Canis lupus familiaris: one gene and its partners. The protein of the gene in region 3 purifies or fractionates together with the protein of the main gene of each other region. This does not show direct contact. Links are inferred from orthologs where the notes say so. Each region holds a gene or a part of one and is shown on either strand. Other genes may lie near its edges.

Evidence for each region.
Region 1: the proteins of USP18 (region 3) and STAT2 purify together in Homo sapiens (affinity purification with western blotting; 6 studies listed by BioGRID and IntAct, with this or other methods). This does not show direct contact. The link is inferred for Canis lupus familiaris from reciprocal best matches to the Homo sapiens genes USP18 and STAT2.
Region 2: the proteins of USP18 (region 3) and SKP2 purify together in Homo sapiens (affinity purification with western blotting; 4 studies listed by BioGRID and IntAct, with this or other methods). This does not show direct contact. The link is inferred for Canis lupus familiaris from reciprocal best matches to the Homo sapiens genes USP18 and SKP2.
Region 4: the proteins of USP18 (region 3) and MAP3K7 purify together in Homo sapiens (affinity purification with western blotting; 4 studies listed by BioGRID, with this or other methods). This does not show direct contact. The link is inferred for Canis lupus familiaris from reciprocal best matches to the Homo sapiens genes USP18 and MAP3K7.

Annotation. Positions count from the first base shown.
Region 1 is NC_049231.1:995,526-1,001,180, forward strand, and holds part of STAT2 (signal transducer and activator of transcription 2), read right to left. Parts: coding exon 5,581-5,655; intron 5,348-5,580; coding exon 5,288-5,347; intron 4,919-5,287; coding exon 4,901-4,918; intron 4,684-4,900; coding exon 4,590-4,683; intron 4,441-4,589; coding exon 4,393-4,440; intron 4,312-4,392; coding exon 4,228-4,311; intron 4,073-4,227; coding exon 3,974-4,072; intron 3,872-3,973; coding exon 3,736-3,871; intron 3,614-3,735; coding exon 3,561-3,613; intron 3,432-3,560; coding exon 3,337-3,431; intron 2,742-3,336; coding exon 2,605-2,741; intron 2,431-2,604; coding exon 2,248-2,430; intron 2,015-2,247; coding exon 1,957-2,014; intron 893-1,956; coding exon 570-892; intron 286-569; coding exon 143-285; 3' UTR 1-142. UniProt on the Homo sapiens protein: Signal transducer and activator of transcription that mediates signaling by type I interferons (IFN-alpha and IFN-beta).
Region 2 is NC_049225.1:73,261,390-73,266,620, forward strand, and holds the end of SKP2 (S-phase kinase-associated protein 2), read right to left. Parts: intron 3,582-5,231; coding exon 3,368-3,581; 3' UTR 1,685-3,367; downstream 1-1,684. UniProt on the Homo sapiens protein: Substrate recognition component of a SCF (SKP1-CUL1-F-box protein) E3 ubiquitin-protein ligase complex which mediates the ubiquitination and subsequent proteasomal degradation of target proteins involved in cell cycle progression, signal transduction and transcription.
Region 3 is NC_049248.1:295,662-301,968, reverse strand, and holds the start of USP18 (ubl carboxyl-terminal hydrolase 18), read left to right. Parts: upstream 1-2,408; 5' UTR 2,409-2,573; intron 2,574-6,307. UniProt on the Homo sapiens protein: Interferon-induced ISG15-specific protease that plays a crucial role for maintaining a proper balance of ISG15-conjugated proteins in cells. Regulates protein ISGylation by efficiently cleaving ISG15 conjugates linked via isopeptide bonds.
Region 4 is NC_049233.1:49,889,338-49,894,992, reverse strand, and holds part of MAP3K7 (mitogen-activated protein kinase kinase kinase 7), read left to right. Parts: intron 1-2,152; coding exon 2,153-2,214; intron 2,215-3,291; coding exon 3,292-3,407; intron 3,408-5,477; coding exon 5,478-5,655. UniProt on the Homo sapiens protein: Serine/threonine kinase which acts as an essential component of the MAP kinase signal transduction pathway. Plays an important role in the cascades of cellular responses evoked by changes in the environment.

The DNA of each region.
Region 1 (5,655 bases), on a different chromosome or scaffold from region 3:
CCGTAGTATGGTTTTACTTTCCACTCCAAAACCCAGAGTTAACTTAACCAGCTTAGAATGGGTTTTCCATTCTTAGAGAGCAACATCATGATGTAGGGGGTAGCAGGGACAAAAGATACAGGAAGAACAGGAAATGCAGTTCCTAGTAGTCAGAAGGAATCAAAGGTCCATCCGTGTAGAAATGGCTGGAGTGGAAGACGTAAGCCTCATCCATGATGTTCTGGCCAGCCAACAGTGGGTCACCATTTGGCATGATTTCCTCAATCTTCATACTGTTTCTGAAAACTAGACAGTCCAGAAAAAGAAATCAGTCCCTGATCTTTGGTAAGAAGTTCCCAATCCCGCAGGGAAAATGAAGGAGGATGGCAGTAGAGGCCTGGACAAGGTGTGAGGGGGCACTTAGGTCAGGGAAGGAGAAGGCGTTTACATTTCATAATAAAAGGGATCACAAAGAAATGAGCCTCCCTCCAATGAGGAGCTTAGAGTTTAGCCTTTTCTATAATGGGAAAGGGAGGGCAGTTGGTAAAGGGAAGGTGTCCCCACTTCCCCAGGCCCATCTCACCACTTACTTTCCATTTCCTCAGTGTTCAAGTGTCTCAGATCATGGGGCAGATCTGGCTCTGGCACTGCCTGTGATGCAGGGTCTGGGAGAGGCTCCAGCCTCAGCTCTGGTCCCAAGTCTGGTTCTGACACTCCCTGGGGTACCATGTCTAGCGTAGGCTCCAGCATGGGCTCCAGTGGTGGCCCCAGATCCAGCCCAGCCGCTAGCAGTGGCTCTAACTCCAGGCATGGCTCTTGCTGTAGCAATGGGTCTAGTCCTGTCTCCAGCTCCAAGGACTCTGCTTCTGGCTCCGGCTTAAGCTCCAGCGGTTGTTGCAGCTCATCCACCTGTCTGGATGCGGTAATACACACAAAAGGGCAGGGCTTAGTTGTTTAGGTGAACTGGAGAATGGCGGAGCAAGCGGAGACTATCTCTCTCGGCTGAGAAGGCAAGAGAGCAAGGGCACCTGGGTGACTCCGTTGGTTAAGCATCTGACTCTTGATTTCTGCTCAGGTCATGATCTCAGGGTGGTGAGATTGAGCCCTGCGTCGGGCTCCATGCTCAGAGCAGAGTCCGCTTGAGATTCTCTCTGCTTGTCCCTCTATTCCTACCCCGGCCCTACTCGTGCATTCTCTCTCTCTCTCTCTCTCTCTCTTTTTAAATAAATTAAAAAAAAAAATTTTTTTTTAAAGGTGGCAACAGGGCAATACAGCAGAGGGTTTAAGAGCACAGGCTTTGGAGTTAGGCTTGCCAGAGTTTGAATCCTATCATTTATTAGATAGGTGATCTTCAGCTTTCTGTGCCTCAGATTTATCATCGATAAAATGGAACCATCACCACCTAATAACGCTTCAGAGAGTAGGATGGTTAAAAGCAGGACTTTGGAATCTGACAGACCTGGATCATTTACTAGCCATGTACCTTAGGCATGCCATTTCACCACACTAAACCTCAGGCTCTTCGGCTGAAATACCCATGTCTGCCTCACAGGACTATTATGGAGATTCAATAAATAAGAAACTAAATGCAAAATATTTAGTCCAGTACCTGCCACATAATAAACTTTCTTAAATATGGCTGTTATCACCTAATTGGATGGGTTCTCAGAAGAATTCAATAAAATAAAAAGAAATCTGTTTCTAAAAAAAAAAAAAAATCTAGTACTATGCTTCAAGTAGATGCCCATTAACGTCAGTGATTATGACTCTGATTAGCAGGGAAGCCCTGTGGAAACAACCTAAGGATAGCAGCAGAGCACTAGGGAACAAAGAGGCTAGCAGAACGAGGGAAAAAACCTAGAGGTTGGAGACTATGGGCCCGTAGGAAAGAAGGCCAGAGAGGCAAACTGAGCGGGTTTGGGTCGCCACATCAGCCAGCAAAGGCCAGGGAGGATGGGCAAGAAATGCATCTCTCACCTGTTAGAGACCACAATGAGCCTATGTTTCAGGTATTTCCTCCGTTCTTCGAGATTAACTGTGGGGGACATATGCAGGAGGACAGGGAGGTCAGTGGACTGGACACCTGGCCCAAGGACCCCTCGTGTAAACGGTCTTGATAATTGTATTTCCCTACTAACTAGCCATGTCCCAGGGACAAATCCTTTCGTTTCTCTGGCTACCAATTTTTCCATGTCTGGAAGAAAGGAGCTGGATCTGTAGATGCCTGAGTCCCTGCAATCTTCAGTGACATACATCAACGATCCTTACCTTTCTCCTGGTAGTAGCACCCAAAAGCCTCATCCCGGGGGATTCGGGGGTAGAGGAAGCACAGTGGGTTCTCAGGTATGTTCTCTTCGGTAAGCAGCTGGTAGTGGCGAATGATTTTGGTCAGTGGGAGAGACTGAAGCACTTCCTTGGTGAAGGGTTGCAGAGAGTTGATGAGCACCTTATCTGCAGAATGGATGTGGGAAGAGGCAGGCCTGAAACAGTCGGGTCTAGGAGTCCCCCACCCTGGCCATCTAAGCCCCAACCTGCTGAGGGATTCAAGACAGAACCAGGGAAGCCAAGGGCTGGCAGAGGGACATAAAGGACAGGCTGTGGGAACATCGGGGCGAAGCAGCTGACCATCATCCTGATGTTCCACCCAGGAGCAGGTGATGCCCCCTTCTGATGTTTCACTGAAGCGCAGGAGAAAGGTGCCAGAGATGGTCTTCTTCAGCAGCCTGCGTTCCTTGCTCCGGCTCACAAAGCCCATGATGCGTCTGAAACAGAAAGCTGCTGTGAGGCCCTCATGCCTCCCTGCTGTCCTGCTGTCCTGCTCTCCTTGTACAGGGAGACAGCGCCAGGGTTTGGCCCTTGCTCTTGGCCAAGTCACTTCCTCTTACTGACGGTATCCACCTTCTAGGGCTGGAAGAGGTTTGAGGATTCAGTGTGGTCACAGATGAAAAAGCACCTTGGAAAGGCAAATGAGCAGGTAGTGTGATGGGAAGAGCACAGGCCTGCAGTCAGATGAGGCCTGGGTTTGAGTCCCAAGCAGGCCCATTGAGTGAATTCTTTTTTTTTTTTTTTCATTGAGTGAATTCTTTTTTTTTTTTTTTTGAGTGAATTCTTTAACTTCTCTTTGACTCCACACGGTTGTAAGGATTACACGAGAGAGTTCATAAGGAGCATCCAGCAGGTTCTGGAGCACAACAGATGCTAGGACTATTATCATGAGCGAAAACGTCAGGCGCGTGACCTTGCACCAGCATTTGCTTGCTCTCTCCCTTTCTGCCACATGAGGGCGCACAGAGTCCACTCGAGCCCAGAAAGGCAGAAAGCTAGGGGTGGGGCGAGGGAGACTGACCAAGGCCTTACCCATCATTCCAGAGATCCTTCAAGTGGTCATGTACCAGCTCCAGAATTTTGTCTAACCACGTCCAGAATGGTAGCTTGCCAGGAGGGCTCTCTCGCTGCAGGAGGAATGAAAAGGCAGGAAGAGACATGATTAGTCGCCCCCAGTGAGCAGATGGCAGTAAGGAGGGCAAGGACTAGTGTTTGCACAGGGGCTAGACGTAGTCACACAGGATGCAGGGAGTTACCTTAGTGAAGTCGGCCCACGATAACAATGCGCCCTCAGTCCTAGAGTTCTGACCTGTGGACAGACAGACAGTTCAGGTAATCGATGCAGGCAAGGCCAGGGTCCTTGGAATAGAAAGGGTGGAGGGCTGGGGAGACTACGGCTGGGGAAAGGCTGGGAGAAAAGGAGGTTTGTACCAAAGAGCTTGTTCCTCAGCATGCTCAGCTGGTCTGGGTCAAGGCCTCGGCCAACATAGGAGGAGAACTGCCAGCTGAGAGCAGGGCCCAGCAAGCTCCAGGGTGCCATGGGAGGGCTGGAGAAGAACTGCTGATTCTGCAAGAGTGGGAAGAGGGCAGGATGGCTCAGAAGGAGCACCCTCAGGCCAAGCGTCCACACCCTTCCTTGCCACCCAGCACCATTAGCACCATCTCCTACCTGGGGGTTTGAGCTAAGCAGATTGAACCAAAGAACCGAGGCCCAGGCAATGGAAACTTGGTTCATATTGGAAATAATCACCACAGGGAGGGTGTCTGTCTGAAGAGAAAACAAGAGTCAGAGAGAGGGATGGGATGTTTCTAGCTTTGACAGAGGCAAAGGAGAACTTCCCACTGGAGAGGCTTCCTTTAACGCCTCCTGAATGCCTTCCGCCAGATCTGCTTCATCTCTCCCTGCCCTCCATTTCCACTCACCTTCAGCTCCTCCTTCAGACCCTGGTAGGTGTATTTGACTGTAATGCTGATAATGTGCAGTTCCTCCGTCACACCCAGCATGCCCTAGGACAGCCGAAGACACAGCGGTCAGCGGGCCCTGTGGCAAGCTCCTCCCATCCCCCCGCTGCTCTGGCCAGGCCTCACCTTATTGCAGCCCTTTCCTGGGCCACCTGAACGTTGTTCTACCAGAGTCTGTGAGTTGACAGGAAATAAAATAAATGCCAGAGTGAGGACTCCAGGGTCCCTGGAACCCCTATTTCGCCTCAAGACTTCCCAAGGCCTGGGAACTTCCCTCAGCCCGTTGCACCGGACCAGAACCTTAGGCTGCTAGCCCTTCTTACCAGGTAACCGAAGTCCCAAATTAAGCCCTGACTCTGCCCCTTCTCGGGGGTCAGGGTTTTCTGGTTTGAGGTTAGAATGTTGAACTTCCGGAAGCTATTCCAGGAGGAAGAAGATATATGGAGAAGAGGAGAAGAGTTATTCTAAATACTCAGCAGGAAAACAACAAAAATCCTACTTCATTCCAGACCTCCCCTCCTCCCTTTGTCCAACCCCCAACCAAGTCAACCTCCTTCTTGTCTGAGCCCCAATGTGGTTATTATGCAGGTTGTGCAGTGCACCCAAGTCGGCAGCATCCTTATCAGACACCTACCCTTGTGATTGAGGATTCCTGAAAAAAAAAAAAAAAAAAAAAAATTCACTGAGAACCAAAACAGTGCAGAAGTTAGGAGTTTAGTCTTTAGAATCAGACAGACCTGGATTCAAACCCAAATCTGTGCTCACGAGTCTTATGGCCTTGCACAAGAGACACAATCTCTCTGGGCTTGTCTCTCCATCTGAACTGTGCACTGCTAATACCTAACTCACAGGGTTCCTGGGACAAATGAGGACTGGACAAGCCGCATGTCACATAGTGCTCAACAAGAGCGAGGAGGCGGGGTAGGAACACAGCCCCAGGGCCCTCGGGTGAAGAGTGGGTCTCCTCTGCCCCAGCAGCCCATGTCCCTGCCACCCTGTGGCCCCACGTGCCCCAACTTACTTGTCAATGGAAACTTCTGCAGTCAGTGACTCGTTGCCTTCCTGGAGTCTCACCAGGAGCCTAAGTGGAAGAGGGGAAAGTGGTCACCTTCAATCTCCTGGAGAGATCAAATGTTGGGAAAAGATAAGGTAAGAGATTAGAAGAGGTAGATGGGAAAAAGAAAAAGAAAGAGACGAGGTAGGTGGATTAAAGAGAAAAGGGAGAAGACAAGAGTGGAAAGATCTAAAGCCAGAAAGCAAACAGTAGTATGAGGGCTGGAAAAAGGAAGCAGGAATGAGTCCTGAAATGCCAACCTTGTTCGGATAGTGAACTTGCTCCCAGTCTTGAGGATGAGGGGTCGGTGGGGAGTTTGGGGCATGCAGGGCTGG
Region 2 (5,231 bases), on a different chromosome or scaffold from region 3:
GTGACAACCTGGACAGACCTAAAGGGTATTACACCAAGTGAAAGTCAGATAGGGAAAGACAAATTCCATAGGATTTCACTTATATGTGTAATCTAAAAAAAGAAAAAAAAAAAAAAACAGAAGCAAACTTACAAATAATAGAGAACAAACTGGTGGTTGCTCCAGGGGCAGAGGGATAGGGGGGTGGATGAAATAGGTGAAGGGGATTAAGAGGTATAAACTTCAAGTCATAAAATAAATCATAGAGATGAAAAGTACAGTTATAAGGAATATAGTCAATAATATTGTAATGTTGTATGGTGAGAGGTGGTGACTACACTTACCACAGTGAGCACTTGTGGAATCACTCCACTGTACACTCGAAACTTATGTCAACTGCACTTCAATTTAAGAAAGGACTTTAAGGGATCCCTGGGTGGCGCAGCAGTTTAGCGCCTGCCTTTGGCCCAGGGCGCGATCCTGGAGACCCGGGATCGAATCCCACATCGGGCTCCCGGTGCATGGAGCCTGCTTCTCCCTCTGCCTATGTCTCTGCCTCTCTCTCTCTCTCTGTGTGTGACTATCATAAATAAATAAAAATTTAAAAAAAAGTACTTTAAAAAAAAAGAGGTAATTGAGGATTTAAATCACTAAAAAATTCATTCAGTTTTGCCAATGTACCAATAATATGTGCATCATTATACTTAGGGATAGTACCTACCAAGACAATGCGTAAAAAAGATCCCAGGGATAATATGACATATAAATGATATAATGAAAAAAATTAAATTGGTGGGCGGGAAGGGATAACAGTAATATACAGATGAACTGCTGAGCTACAAGGAGAAATGGTTTCTTTCCAATGCAGTATATTCTCGACTTTAACATTAAAAATAAGCATGAGGGGATCAGGGCATAAGTCAACAAGAAGGCTTATTAAGTTTTCTACGTTAAGGAAAACATGAGTATTTGTTTTTAAGTGTCATGGACCTGAAGATACATTTTTAAGAAAATTACTGACAAAATAAAGAGGAACTAAAGAGAAAATTAGGAAAGAATATTTTAATTTGAATATTTTATAGGAATACTCAGTAAGGCATGGGTCGGAACTAATTCTATTCCTCTTTTTAAAAAAGATTTATTTATTAGAGAGAGAGAAAATGCAGCAGGGAAGGGCAGAGAGGAGGGAGAAAGAGTCACAAGCAGACTCCACACTGAACATGGAGCCCATCCTAGGACTTGATCTCACTACCATGGCAATATTACCTTCAGTCTAGGGCTTTTTGCTGCTGAACCTATGGAAATAGGGGACAGATTAATGAGAGTAAGATATATAGTATGAGCTGGTCCCGTCTATATTTAAAAAGTCCTACTAGCTGCCTTTTATTAGTACTTTAGTATATTAATCACTTGAATTTCAAATGTTTTATAAATGTTACTATTTTAGAAGCACTTTAAAGAATAAACCTGTACTTAGTACCTTCTCAGAAAGCATTCACACTATCATTTTAATTTGACAAAAAGCATATGATGTGGATGGAACAAAGGGGACCATTGTTGGGGTCCTTTTGTAGCCATAACCAGAGGGCTGGGACCAAAGACACCCCAGACGAAATGCTAATTTTAACCACAGTACTTAGGGAAAAAAAAAAAAAAAGAGAGAGAGAGAGGGAAAGAACAAAAGAATACAACTCAGCGGAAGTACTCATTTTTATAAAAATTGTTTTATTTTAAAACAGGTGTATAAAAGTAGAAATCACATACAAAAATACAGATCACTCTGACATGTTAGCAAAATAGCTTATGGCTGGACTTGAGTTTGGAAGTACTGTACATTTGAGGGCATCTGGAAATCACAGCCCAATTGGGTACTATCATCAGCCCTTGTCACTAATCTGTAAACAATAATTTCATGTAGTATATGTAGCACTTTTTAATCAGTACAAAATCAAAACATAATTATTTCCTGCATAAGACCACTTTAAAATGTTCCTCCTTAGGTCTGGGCAGATAAGGGCACTTCAAATCGTTGTTTCTGACATTTGAAGAATCTGATTTAAAAACAATTAATAGAAATAACAGGTTTTAGCTTTTTTGTTCATTTTGAACATATGGGAAGATCAATTTAAATTAAAAAATTAGTGTTTTGTTTTAAAGTAGAATTTAATCCTTTTTCTTCTAGACATTATTAAAAAAAAAAAATAAAAGCACTGTTGTTATCAAAAGATTCCACACCTGAGTCTTAACCTTGATGTCATTTCAAGTTGTCTCACTGCTTAGAAACTGCATGGAACTCACACCTACTTCTAATGTGTATTTCTGAGTGAATGAACATGTAGTTCTTCTTGGGCAACTCCATGTCCGGTAACTTTAGAAAATAATGACTTTCAATTATTGTGGGGGACATTTTTTTTAAAAAGGCAATTGAAAATACTTGATTCCAGAGTAATATAAAAATAACTTCAAGAACTTGGACAATAAAGGAAAAATGGCAGGGAACTTCAGTTTGGCATTCCATCCAACATTTCAAGAATAAAGACTGACCAGCTACTAGCATCTGTCTGAAACAAAGCGAGCCATTTTAAAAGCGAAAGAACCCATGTTAACGTCATTTGATCACAAAGTTAGAAGACCACAATTATATTTCCTCAGCTAATTCGGAATTCTGCGAGCACATGACATTATGGAAACTTCACTGATGTGCATGAGAAGATACTTCAGATTGACCTGTCATAGAAAACTGCCTCTTGAGCTTTCAAATTCTCTACCAATTCTTCACCTCTGATTGGTCAGTCATTTGTCATTTAGTGTGAATTGCCCAGAGCTATTTGTTTCCATGAACCTAATTTCATATCTACAGGCAAAGCTGAAATGCGTATTTTTCTATCTCCAGAAGAGGTTGCCACAAATGCTACTATCCTATGATTCTCCTTTTGTTCCGTTCACAACACAAACACTTCTAGCAGTCTATGTCTCATAAAGCAATACTGAAAAATTAAATAGAAGTCACCATATAGATTGTGAGAACGATTTGCTGGTGGTGATTCTTACGCTTGATTCTAAATAGATTTAATAAGAAGGGCACTTGAAAGAGGTGGCTCAAATCTTGCTGCTTAAGGCATCCTGAAATTACAGGCTCTCCTAAAATTCCCAAAGGCCTTAAACTTAGGCTCCTAAGTGTACAAAAGCAGTGACCGAAGCTTTTCTGGTTATTTAGAAAAAGCAAAACTTCATAGTCTTCTCTCTCAAACGGCTGTCTAACATACTTGCAGAATGAAGGCAAAGGGAAAACCAAGAATAAAAACAGCTGAGTGCTCCAGCAAGCAGGCTTCCTGCCTATTTTCCCTGTTCCAAAGAAAAGAGGAGACACCATCTTGTGATAAATACTTCATAGACAACTGGGCTTTTGCAGTGTCAGCCGGCATCGGATGCCCCATATCTCCTGGTTCTTTTTGTTGCCGGTGGTCGGCCTGGCGATGGTGGTGAAATGGGAACCATTAATCTGCAGATGAGGAAGGGCTTCTTTTAACAGTTGAAGGGTACCATCTGGCACGATTCCAAAAACTTGTAGTGTTTTTAGTGTGGGGATTTCTCCAAGTTCACTGGAAAGGAAGAGAGACTTCTCAGAATAGCAGTATCTATGGTAACTGATCCACCAGAGTTACATGACCCAATTTTTACCATTTGTTTTATATTCTACAAAATGCAAACTGAAAACATAATTTGCAATCAATGATTTGAGAAAATAGAATAGATGAATCAAACCAGAAAGCACAGACCTTTCTGTGCTCGGACAACATGGCCCCAGGACCCACGCAGGCGCATTTTGTTAAATGTTTTCTCACAATCTAAAAATGCTGAGATTTCTTTAAAATCCAACCATAGTTGCTTCCTTTTTCTATTCTCTCTCTTTTTTTTTTTTTTTTTTAATATTTATTTATTCACGAGAGACATAGGGAGAGGGAGAGGCAGAGACACAGACAGAGGGAGAAACAGGCTCCATGCAGGGAGCCCGACGTGGGACTCAATCCCGGGACTCCAGGATCCGCCCTGGGCCAAAGACGGCGCTAAACCGCTGAGCCACCCGGGCTGCCCATCCTTTTTCTATTCTTGATCTAAAACTGAAAGGAGTTCAAGTGTCATGAGAAGCTGGGAGCCAGTGATGGCAAAGAATCACCACAGGTTACATGTAATTCCAAAATATGGACTTGACCTTTATTTGAACCAGGCTCTTTCAAAAGAGGAGCAAGAGAAGTTAAAGTAACTTCTTAGTAGGTCCATTACCTGTGATAACATCTAACAGCGACTTTGCTATGGTATTTAGGACAGGGCTGCGTAGGTGGGTGCAGATGGGAGTAGTTGGGCACAGATGGAGAAAAGGATTGATTAGTCACACCTTTTCTACGAGAGGCAAAAGCCATCTGACTTCTTTACATATTTTTTATTTTTTTGGTCACATATATGCCAATCCTCTTCTTAGCTATTTCCCATTAAGTGAAATACAACTCTGTCAACAGAGAAATTCTGGTCCACAAAAAAGAGAGCCTGTTTCCCCAAAGCAAATACTTTTAGGTAATGATTCTTTCTTCTTAGCTCAGATCTATGTGCTTAGGAATTCATCTCTCTGATCTGTATTTGCTCCAGGTTGGGACACACAGTACAAAGTCTTAGGAAAGGGAATATTTAGTTTGGAATATCAACAAAATCCCACTACAGATCAATGAACACATCAATGACCTAGAGTTAGAAGCATCCTTTATATTTTCATATTGCCGATTAATTACTAAAAAAACCAAACTTTCCTCATAGTAACTGTAACCTGGCCTCCAATCTTTTCTTCCTTCCAGCCTATTCTATGTACCTATGTTCAAGGCATCTTCCTAAAGCCTAGGAAGATTATGTCACCCCCCACCCCCTCCACCCACCCAAGCCTTTGATGCTGTCCTCTTGTTTACGGAACTCAAACCGTTCAGCTGGCCTTAGGACTTTCCATGTTTTCAGTCTGCTCTCCCAGTCACCCCATTACCCTCTAAATGGATTTATTCTACATTCAACAAGTGTATTAAACACCACAGAGGCTAATAAATGTTAGCTGAATAAAGATGGAGGGTAATTTAGAAAATAAAAGTACTACCTAAGTAAAACAAATATGCTTGGTGTTCATAAAAGGACAGCAACAAGATCTGGAGGTTACAACAGACAAAAAAGAAAATCAGGAAGAACAAAGTACTTTTCTTCTTAAAGTAAAGTAA
Region 3 (6,307 bases):
TCCTTTTTCTTTTTTTAAAAAATTTATTCATGAGACACACACAGAGAGAGAGAGAGAGAGAGAGAGAGAGAGAGGCAGAGACACAGGCAGAGGGAGAAGCAAGCTCCATGCAGGGAGCCTGAAGTGGGACTGGATCCCGGATCTCCAGGATCAGACCCTGGGTTGAAGGCGGCGCTAAACTGCTGAGCCACCTGGGCTGCCCATTTTTCCTTTTTCTTAAAACACCACTTGCCCCTATCCCATGCAAAAAGTCCGTCCTTTTCCTAGAACAAAAATTAGCATCAGGTTCTATAAATTGTTCATCATTTTTGACAATTAACTTTTCTCTAAGGAGAATAACTAGATAATCCCATAAAGTCAGCCAAGCTTCTTCCTCTCTGACCAAATTTTTAGGCAGAATTTCAATTTTAGCACTTAGGTGTGGCTTTTTGTCTTGCACTTTAAATTAAAAAGGGAAAAGAGAACGAAATCCATTAGCAATTTTCAGTGACACTGTGCAAGCTACAGAAAATACTTCTCAGGGCCCAAACTTTATTTTGAAACCATTATTACTCAGGTTCAATTTAAACTCTTTCTTGCAGTATTTACCCCAAAGATACAGATGTGGTGAAACACGGGGACACCTGCACCCCAAAGTTCATTGCAGCAATGTCCACAATAGCCAAACTGTGGAAGAAGCCTCCATGTCCTTCCACAGATGAATAGATAAAAAGACGTGGTCTATGTATACAATGGAATATTACTCAGCCATCAGAAGAGATGAATACCCATCATTTGCTTCAAAATGGATAGAACTGGAAGGTATTATGCTGAGTGAAGTAAGTCAGTGGGAGAAGGTCAATCATATGGTTTCACTCATACGGGGAATATAAGAAATAGTGAAAGAGATTATAAGGGAAGGAGAGTAACTAAGTGGGAAAAATTAGAGGGAGACAAACCACGAGAGACTCCTAACTCTGGGAAACAAACAAAGGGTTGTGGAAGGTGAGGTGGGTGGGGGATGGGGTAATGGGTGATGGGCACTGAGGAGAGCACTTGATGGGATGAGCCCTGGGTGTTATATTATACGTTGGCAAATCAAACTTCAATAAAAAAAAATGAAAAAAAAAAAAACCCTCTTTCTTGCCTAGTTTTGAGAAATGTCAACCAGTGCGTTCAAAGAGCACCATCTTGTTAGATCTCACCACCCTAAGTTCTAAGGAGGAGTAAATAGTTGACTTCTTTCCCCCTTTTCCCACTGTCCCATGTCTGTCCTCTGCTGGCTCCTCAGAGTGGCAGCAGGACACAGCACAAAGACGTCGTCCTGGGCGCCACATCTCAGTGAACCTACAGCCATTGAGTTCACGATGCACGATTTTGTGATAATGAAAGACAAAATGTGACAAACGACTGTAAGGCGCATCCTAATTACCAGGATCCTAAAGTGTCAAAAAAAAAAAAAAAAAGACCCCTGTATTCTTGGACTTTCAGGCAAAGGGCAAGGACCGCAAGGACCGCAAGCACAGCACAGATCTTTATTTATTTTTTATTTTTTTATTTTTATAAATTTATTTTTTATTGGTGTTCAATTTGCCAGCATACAGAATAACACCCAGTGCTCATCCCGTCAAGTGCCCCCCTCAGCGCCCATCACCCAGTCCCCCCACCCCCGCCCTCCTCCCCTTCCACCACCCCTAGTTCATTTCCCAGAGTTAGGGGTCTTTATGTTCTGTCTCCCTTTCTGATATTTCCCACACATTTCTCCTCCCTTCCCCTCTATTCCCTTTCACTATTATCTATATTCCCCAAATGAATGAGACCATATAATGTTTGTCCTTCTCCGACTGACTTACTTCACTCAGCATAATACCCTCCAGGTCCATCCACGTCGAAGCAAATGGTGGGTATTGGTCGTTTCTAATGGCTGAGGAATATCCCATTGTATACATAGACCACATCCTCTTTATCCATCATCTTTCGATGGACACCGAGGCTCCTTCCACAGTCTGGCTGTTGTGGCCATTGCTGCTAGAAACATCGGGGGGCAGGTGTCCCGGCGTTTCACTGCATCTGCATCTCTGGGGTAAATCCCCAGCAGGGCAACCGCTGGGTCGCAGGGCAGGTCTATCTCTAGCTCTTCGAGGACCCTCAGCTTCCCAGAGTGGCTGCCCCAGGTCACGGTCCCACCAACAGCAGCACATCTTCCCAAGGGCACACGTGTGGCTCCCGGGGTCGCCTCAGCAGCCCCCCAGGACGGCGGTCGCCGGGTCCCCGAGCCCCCGGGGAGGGCGGGGCGTCCCGGGCGCGACGTGCCCCACACGCGGAGGCCGCCTGCGCAGCCCGCCTCTCGCTGAGTTTCGCTTTCGGTTCTGCGGGAAACGAAAGCTGCGCGGCCGCAGGGGGCGGGGCGGGGCGGGGCGGGCGGGGGCGCGGGCGCGGGCTCGAGCTGCGCCGGGAACGCAGGGCGCCGTCCGGCCGTGCGCTCCCAGCGGCGTCTTGGCGAGCTCGCTGCAGGCAAGAGCAGAGAAGGCTTTTTCGAGGCTCCCTAGCATCGAACTTCGCAGCGGACGTTTGGCTGTCTCGTGGAACTTGAGGCAAGTTGGGCGCTAAATTCTCATCCAGACAAGTCGTTAAAATTGTTCTGTAATTTGCCTTTTCCCTCTCAACAGTATACGATGGACCTCTTTTCATAGCAAAACATAGATACATCAACCTCATTTAGAAAAATTGGTACATGATACTTATTTAAACAATTCATAGACATTAGGTTGTTTCCAGTTTTTATTGGTATAGATGATGCAGCAGTGGATATCATTTTATGTACACATTCATGTGAATATACAAATATATTTGTGAAAAATTCCTAGAGGTGGAATTGCTCAGTCAGCGGGTGTATATATTGAGAAATTTGAAAGATTTTGTCAAAATGTGCAAATCAGAGTATTTTAATCTTGATCTTCCTCCAACCTCTTTGCCTTTTTTTTCCTGGAAGAGAACTAAATTTAGATCTATTGAAACATAAAACTTCATTCCATAACTCTTGAAAATATGGGTTTCAGAGTGTTGGAAAATTAAAGCAGTAGCTTTAACTGCATATTTTATAGCAGTGAGGTAGTTATACTTTGAAATTACTCCAGAAAAACAAAGCAGTTATTTTCTTAGTATTTTATTTAAAATTTTTAGAGGGGGGAAGGGGCATTGGAAGAGAGAGAGAAAATCTTAAGCGGGCTCCACCCTGAGTGCAGAGCCCAAGGGGGGGGGGGGGCTCAATCTCAGGACCCTGCAATCCTGACCTGAGCCAAGATCAAGACTCAGAGGCTTAACCAACTGAGCCACCTGGGTGCCCCTTAAATAAGACAAATGTTTAAAAACATTTCTTTATAGTGTTATGTGGTGGCAGAGTGAGGTGGGGAGGAGGTTTAGATCTAGATACCTAGGCTATCTAATGTGTTCATAGGAACAAAATAAGTAGGAGGGAGTAGGAGAGCAGTTCCATCTTGATTTATGGAGCACTATCAAAGAACTTTAAAAAAAGTTTTTTTTTTTCCTTTTTTCACTATTAATAATGTTGTGCTTTTGGCACTTTTACACAATGATGGGCTTGCAAAGGGGAAATACTTAACATGTACACAGCCTCAAAGAAGATAAATCCTAATGCCTTCCACATGAGTTGATTCTTTTGGAGAGAGTAGTCTCAAGATTCATTCCGTCTTATTTGGGATTTCATCTGGTGTGCTCTAAGCGGTGTACACAGCACATCACCACTACTCAAGAAGCAAAACACATGATTAAGGATAAGGCCTAAATTTGTTGTTGCCATGATGATTTGGATTTGGAAGACTGTGATATGGTTTGTATCATGTCATAGGCATGTTAATTTTGTTCCTTTTAGGCCATTTAAAGACAGTCAGTTTTCCTGACTGGAGAGCCTAGTTGTGGTGAAGAGCCCAGCCCAGGTAGAGACCCAGACCACTCAGTTTTCCTGCATCACATTTTTTTGATGTTTCTTGGAAGACTGATTGATTCTGTGGCCACAGTGATGGTGGACTTAGACCTGCTTCTATCATTCACATCTCCTACTTATTTTAAGGATAAAAATTTGAGGGAGGTTGGGGGCCAAATTAGTTTAGTTCTTTGAAACCAAAAAGCATTTAAAAAATAATGGACTGTATTTAGAGCAATTTGAGGTTCACAGCAAAGTTGAACAAAGTTGGGAGGTACAGAGTTCCCACAGATCATTCCCTCCCTCTGCCACATCGAGACCATTATTAACACCTGGCACCAGAGTGATACATTTGCTGCAATTAATGAGCCTACGGTGACACCATCATTATCACCAAAAGTTCATACTTTACAACATGGTTCACTCTTGGTGTCATATGGGTTTTGACAAATGTATAATGACGAGTATCTACCATTATAGTATCATACAGAATAATTTCACTGCCCTAAAAATCCTATGTTGGAGCAAACTTTTTGAGTCAGGGCTTGAGTTTAAAAATTCAGTTTCCTTGAAATAAAACCATCTTTTTTTCTCTGGTTGATGCTTCTTGCCACCTTCTTAGTTCAACCGCATGTTCTCTGATCACTCTGCCTTTCTCCAACCTTCTTAGACCTCTAGGTTTCATTTTCCTTCCTTTTGTAGCCACACCTACCTGTTTCCCCTCTATGATCAGCTCTGACGATTGCCCTTTTGGAATCTGACCTGCCAGCTTACCCAAATGATACTCTTCACTGGGTTTTACTGCTATATTGGGCTGACATAAATAGTTTTGAGGGCTTAGTGGAGTATAGAACAATGTCTCTGGAAAACACAGGCTGGTCCTGTTCTACTCTGTTTCATCAGATTTCCCTCAGTGTGGTCTTAGAATCCTATTTCTTGCTCAAGGAATTGCCAGCTGCCATCATTTCTTTCTTAGTTTAAACCCTTCAGGATGAGCCTTATAAGACTATGAGACTATTTTTTATTTATTTAATTTATTAAGGGACTATTTATTTTTTAATATTTTTTATTTTTTTAAAAGATTTTATTTATTCACGAGACACACACACACAGACACAGAGGCAGAGACACAGGCAGAGGGGGAAGCAGGCTCCCTGTGGGGAGCCCAATGCGGAATTTGATCCCAGGACTTCGGGGCTACATCCTGAGCTGGAGGCAGATGCTCAACCATTGAGCCACCTAGGCGTCCCTTTAATTTTTTTTTTGTTTTGAGTAATCTCTGCACCCAACATGAGGCTTGAATTTACAACCCCAAGGTCAGGAGTCCCATGCTCTACTGACTGAGCCAGCCAGGTGAAGAGACTATTAAGACTGCTTATGACTGTTGAAAATAAATGCCAAGTAAAAGAGGTCATAATCTGGGTCATTTAACTTGATTTATTAATATATGCCAATTATATGTTTAGGTGTTTTCCAATTTCAGATTTTCACGTTTGCTTTACATTTTGTAAAAGAATTAAGAAAAAGAAATTCTAACAATTCTTCTCATTCTTAACTTGTTAATTTTTTGGAATTTGGAATAGGAACACTATTGCCAAAAAGTTCCTTTAAGAGATATTAAATCTGTCCCCTAAATGAATTATTGCTTATTTTAAAATTGCATATTAATTAATTACAAGAAGTTTGGAAATTAAGAGAAATAATTTTTTAAAAATGATTTGTAATCCCACCAGTGAGAATCACTTTTAATGACATTTTTGGCATATTTCATCCAGGCTTTCCTCTCTCTCTTAGTTCTATTTATGTTTAAAAAATTAAGTTAATACCATGTGATTTTTTTAATAATTTCTTTTTTATTCAGTGAAATATTAGTCATTTTCCCATCTTTCTTAGTCTAAAATGATTTTAATGTCACTATAGTATTTCATTTTATTAGTGTGTCATAATTTACTTAACTTTTATTGTTGAATTTTTTTTTTCTTTTGGCCAATGTAAGTAGTGCTTTAGCTCTTAGATTTGAAAGCATCCTTTTATTTTTTTTGTCAGTTGACAACAACAAAAAAATCCCCCTTTGAAATATCATCTAATGTTAATTAAGGAGGAACAAAAAGATATTTAAAAGAACAGACAAAATGGTAATAGAGTGATTTCACTCTCCTAAATGCTGCTTTTCCTCATCAGTGTTTCATTTTATTTGTAAAACGCGTAAGGAAAATAGGCCATAAAAATGAATCTCTTAAATAGATCTTTATATGTATCTCTGATTATTTTTTATTTATTAAGTTTTTATTTTAATTCCAGTATAATTGACATAGTGTTTTATATTACTTTCAGGTGTACAATATAGTGATTCAGTAATTCCATACATCATCCACTGCTCATCAC
Region 4 (5,655 bases), on a different chromosome or scaffold from region 3:
GAGAAATGACTAGACACAGTAGAGGGAGCCACAGAGGGGGAAAAACCCACTGAGGAATTTTTCTTATTTGCAAAGATGGAAGTATAATACATGGCCCACTGCTTGCAATCTTAGAGTCATAATTCTGGCACATTAAAAATTTAAAAAAAATCATCATACTTTATTTAATAAATTTAAGACACTACTAAATTTTCAGCACAAAGCTGAGTGTTTTAATAGTTAATAGCACAATCCTTGAATTTTTTTTTCCCCATTCCCTGAGTACTGTGAAACACTGGTATACTTAATTTTAAAATACATATCAGACACAGAGTATTTATTTAATAAGATATATCAAGTATGAAAGATTTAAGAAAGAGTAATAGGAATAGAAACGTTGAAAGAGTTCAAGAGACTAATTTTTCCTATAAAGTCAGGGGCAAATAATCTTTAATCAGTTGTAATCTTGTTGGAGATTACATAGTTTGAAACTGTTGATGTGGGTGGGGAAAGAGTTGGTCAGAGAAATAACAAGTTAAGTGTATTTCTTGTTCAGCCATTTCAGTTAGTATATGATTTTTGGTCAGATAAGACTACTAGGCAATACACTGTTACTCTTTCTTTATTGCTGTCCAGTATTTAGTAAACATTACTGAATGTTTTTTCAAACTGAAATACAAACTTGAGTATATAAAATTACTCTTCCTTCCTAATTCTCCATTTAGTATAAATAACAACAGCAATAACAGTAATAATAACCACCATATGTTGAGTGCTTACCATATAGGTTAGCATTGCATGGTATTTCTTACATGCATTATCTTACTTCATTTGATTTAGCTTAGCTTTTGGAGTCACTTGTAAGCACATTCACGATGGCTTTGAAAAAGAAAACTAGAATATCAGTCAATAATAAATTATTGAAGTTACTGAACCATCAGACTGTCCTATTTTTTTATTGCATTGCATGCAGTGCATTGCTGTCAGCCCGACCTTGTCTTTATCTGCACCACTCTTTCAAGGAGTTACTTCTCAGGGAAAGGGCTGAACAGTTCACTTGTTTAACTCATTTACTCTCTCCTAACAGTGGGAAAGCAACTACTTCTGAAATAAAAAGATCCTATTACTTCACAGTTATCCTGCCTGCTTCTGGAGGCATAAATGTTAATCCCATGTGACTCATGCAAGTTGTTATGACAGTTTACCTCTTTTGAAATACAAACAAAAGCTGTCTGTTCAAAATACTTTGGTAAAATCGACTGGTTGTTGGATTTAACCCATTCAGCTGTTTTGTGCATGACATTGAGCTATAATTTCCATACTGTTCATACTCCCATCAAAAACATCTTCCATTTTCTACAGTGATTCTTATTAGGAGAAGTGGGAGGGGGTTCATGCTAGAATCTGTATAAATAGAAGATAATCTACTGGAAGAGAATGTGTCTCTTGTTTTCCCCCTTTTTTCATTAAAGAACACGAGTATTCAGGGCAGCCCCGGTGGCTCAGCGGTTTAGCACCGCCTGCAGCCCGGGGTGTGATCCTGGAGACCCGGAATCAAGTCCCACGTCAGGCTTCCTGCATGGAGCCTGCTTCTCCCTCTGCCTATGTCTCTGCCTCTCTCCCTCTCTCTCTCTCTCTCTCTCTGAATAAATAAATAAATAAGTCTTAAAAAAAAAAAAGAACACTAGTATTCAGGGAATTGACACAGCCTTATAGTACACAGCATGATTAAGGAAAGAGAGCTATGAGGTTTGATTAGGTAGGGTCAGTGAAGACAATATAAAGTATAAAGGTCCCATTACCACTGTTTTTTTTTTATTTGCCTTTAAGATTTTGTTTAAATTAAAGTTGGTTAACATATAATGTAGTATTTAGTCTCAGGGGTAGATGTTTTTGTTTTTAATTGAACAAGGGCTTATAAGCTTTAATGTTACACAATTTATAGCCAACTTAAATTGAATCAGAGTATGGTTGCATTTTGATTATCTGGTAATTGGATGTTCTCTTTTACCTTTAGAATTCAGAATAGACTTTCTTCATTACCAGTAGTAATAACTTTTATGTATTACTTATTTTATGAAAAAAAAATGCCAATATCTCATGCATGCTTTCTTGCTTTGTCCTTATAATTATTTATGATATAAAATAAATAAAATACATACTTGAATTCCAGATACCAATGGATCAGATAACTCTATCCCAATGGCTTATCTTACACTGGATCACCAACTACAGGTAAAGAATTGCCTTCTCAGTGACTGTTTACTATTTCCTTAGAAAGTTTAGAGAAGTTATCTAGAAAGCTGACAGTTGTGTTTATATCTGTCATCATATATTCACTTACTTATGCTTTTAGTTGGCCTACTTAAACTTTCTAAAATCAAGTTAAAATGATTCATTCAGTTAAATTAATCAAATCTGAAGTTGGCAAAATCATATGTTCTTAAGATATTTAATTGTCTTAAAACACTTCCATATCTTTGTTTAAGAATGGCAAGAAATAGGGCAGCCCTGGTAGCTCAGTGGTTTAGCGCCACCTTCAGCCCGGGGCATGATCCTGGAGACCCAGGATCGAGTCCCATGTCAGGCTCCCTGCATGAAGCCTGCTTCTCTGCCTCTTTCTCTGTGTCTCTCATGAATAAATAAAAAATCTTTAAAAAAAAAAAAAGAATGGCAAGAAATAGGAGATGCCTGGGTGACTCAGTCAGTTAAGCATCTAACTCTTGATTTTGGCTTGGGTCATGATCAGAAGGTTGTAAGATCAAGTCCCACATCAGACTCTGCGCTGGGTATGGAGCCTCTTGAGGTTCTCTCTCTTGCTCTCTAAAAAAAAAGGAAAGAAAGAAAATGCCAAGAATATAGCATTTTTGATCTCTAATTTTAGTACTGTAATATAAAATTTGCATAAGCTCATTTGTACTTAATAGATTTCATGATACACTGTCAATGTCTCATGTTCATAGTGACTGAAAACATAAGTAATACACTTCAGTGTCTCCTCATGAGTATGAAAGCCATAAACTTATCGTATAATATGGTTTGACAACCTGAAATGTAAAGCCAGAGGCGAGTGATACTCTATAGTCATGATTCTCTGTAACAACAAAAGTGTTAAGACAGCAAGTGTGAATTTAAGTTCTGAGTTAACTCTGACAAAAGGACACTGAAATTTTCTAGGCCATGGTCTAACACTTACTTTTAAAAGACCATTGCTTTAGTGCTATAAAAACATGTCACAGTCACTGTCTTAACTTTCAGCTTGATATTAAGATTTGATTTAATTATGTTTTAACAGTCCTGATTTATTTTCAGCCTCTAGCACCGTGCCCAAACTCCAAAGAATCTATGGCAGTGTTTGAACAGCATTGTAAAATGGCACAAGAATATATGAAAGTTCAAACAGAAATTGCTTTGTTATTACAGAGAAAGTAAGTTATCTTTTGTGAATAAACACGTTAGTATTTTGAGTTTAAAATATGTTAAGATGAAATATTGTTGGAAGACATGAAAGCTTGATAATTTTTAGAACTAATCATTAAGCATGCAGATGCCTGTTGAACGGCTTGGGTGTTGGGGTGCTGAACCCCCACTCATTCAAAAATCCATGTGTAACTTTTGATTCCCCAAAAATGCTAATGGCCTACTGTTGACTAGAATCCTTACCAATGACATCAGCAGTCAATTAACACCTATTTTATATGTTTATGTATTATATACTATATTCTTAAAGTAAGCTAGAGAAAAACTTTTATTAAGGAAGTCATAAGGAAAAGAAAATACATTTACAGTACTGAACAAAAATCCATGTATAAGTGGATCCATTTAGTTGAGACTCATCTCATTGTAGGGTCAACTGTATTTCCAATTTGGAGGTTTTATATGTGTTCATCTTTTAAGTTTGAAGGAACTTTCGGCTGTTTTTCATGTAAAACTCAACCCATTGGCTGTATGTATTATATTAAAACTAAGGAAAATAAACTGGTGTTTCATGTTCTAAGAATTTTGAAACCAGAAGCTGGTTAGATTTATAGTTACAATGATTTATTGTTTCCTTAGACATAGGTAAAATAATTTGATTTACTAATGTTCAACTGTACTTTATCTTAGAAATGTTTTATTGATATAGTCTTTCCAGGTATATATTTAGGAGAGTAGGATTACTTTATTTTATACCCATGAGTGTTTTTATAAGGTGTTTTATACTCACGCATATGTTTTTCTGAGAGTTATTGAGTTTGCCTTCCTCTCCTCCCTTTTTTAAGAAAATCAATTTTCATGCTCCTTTATTTGAAATTCTTAAAAAAAAAAAAACAAAAACTTAAGTTTCTGCATGGATCCTCATTTTAGAGGGAACTGAAATGAAGTGCTATAGGAAAAAATCATGGCATGGTAATAGGATTCCCTCTATTGATTTTAATCTAAATAAGTGAAAATTTCTTGCTTTCTGAAGTAATTTGTGGAAAGTTTCCGTTTGTACTTCAAAAAAAAAAGAAAAAATAGCTCTATCACAACTTATTGTTAAATGATTGCAACTCTACCTTAAAGGCTCTATAGGAAATAAATATTTGAGTCTGCAAATTGTGGAGCTAATTGTAGAACTGTTGACACTTTATGTTTTTTAAAAAAAACCTCTTACTTTACATATTTAGTCTATACTTTTTTCCTTTTTTATTCATTTGAACGAGGAGTTGGTTCTGTGCTGGAAAAAGAAATGATAGATTGAGGGAATGCGAAAACTATGACAATTTTAATCAATTTTATTTAAATACTTTGAGAAATACTACAAGAAAATCATCTGGAGGCTCTTCATTAATTATTCATTTATATCATTAATTAATCACTTATAACTTCACTTTAGGAGTTAAAATTGAACATCTCCCAAATAAAGGGGTCTTTAAAAAGTTTATCAGGCTGTAAAAGTCTCTAATGGTCTTCCTGAAAATGTTTGTAAAAGTAACTCATTCGAAATTGGTACTTTGTATTGTTCTCACTTTTAAAGTAGGAAATAGATTTAAGTTGATAGCATCTATTTTAATTAGCTTGCCAATGTTTTATGAGCCCCCACTTTGTACTGTAGTTAAATAAGATGTAACTTCAAACATAAATAAAAGTTCACGAGTGTAAAAGTGGAATGTGAATGATAAAACATGTTATTTTCCTGTGCCTAGAGCCCTTCCCCAGCCTTTTTTCTTCTTCTTACACAAAGGGGATACCAAGTAAAATGTTTTGAAACTTTTGTTATGCCATTTTATCTGCGTTCATTAATTATCTAAGTGCAGTTACTTACAAAAGGATCGTGGTGTGGTGTTCGTGTGGGTACACCAGAAGAGTGGGTAATAGTTTCCATTCTAGCCTACAATTATATTTGAGTAGTGTACCTAAAATGTGTAACAGTCAATACAGAAAGCCCTAACAAGCCAAGCTCATCAGTTACTAAGTATGGATTTTTTATCATGTACAAGATGTACAATATTTTATTATGTGGTATTTGTTTTTAGGCAAGAACTAGTTGCAGAACTGGACCAGGATGAAAAGGACCAGCAAAATACATCTCGTCTGGTACAGGAACATAAAAAGCTTTTAGATGAAAACAAAAGCCTTTCCACTTACTACCAGCAATGCAAGAAACAACTAGAGGTCATCAGAAGTCAGCAGCAAAAACGACAAGGCACTTCA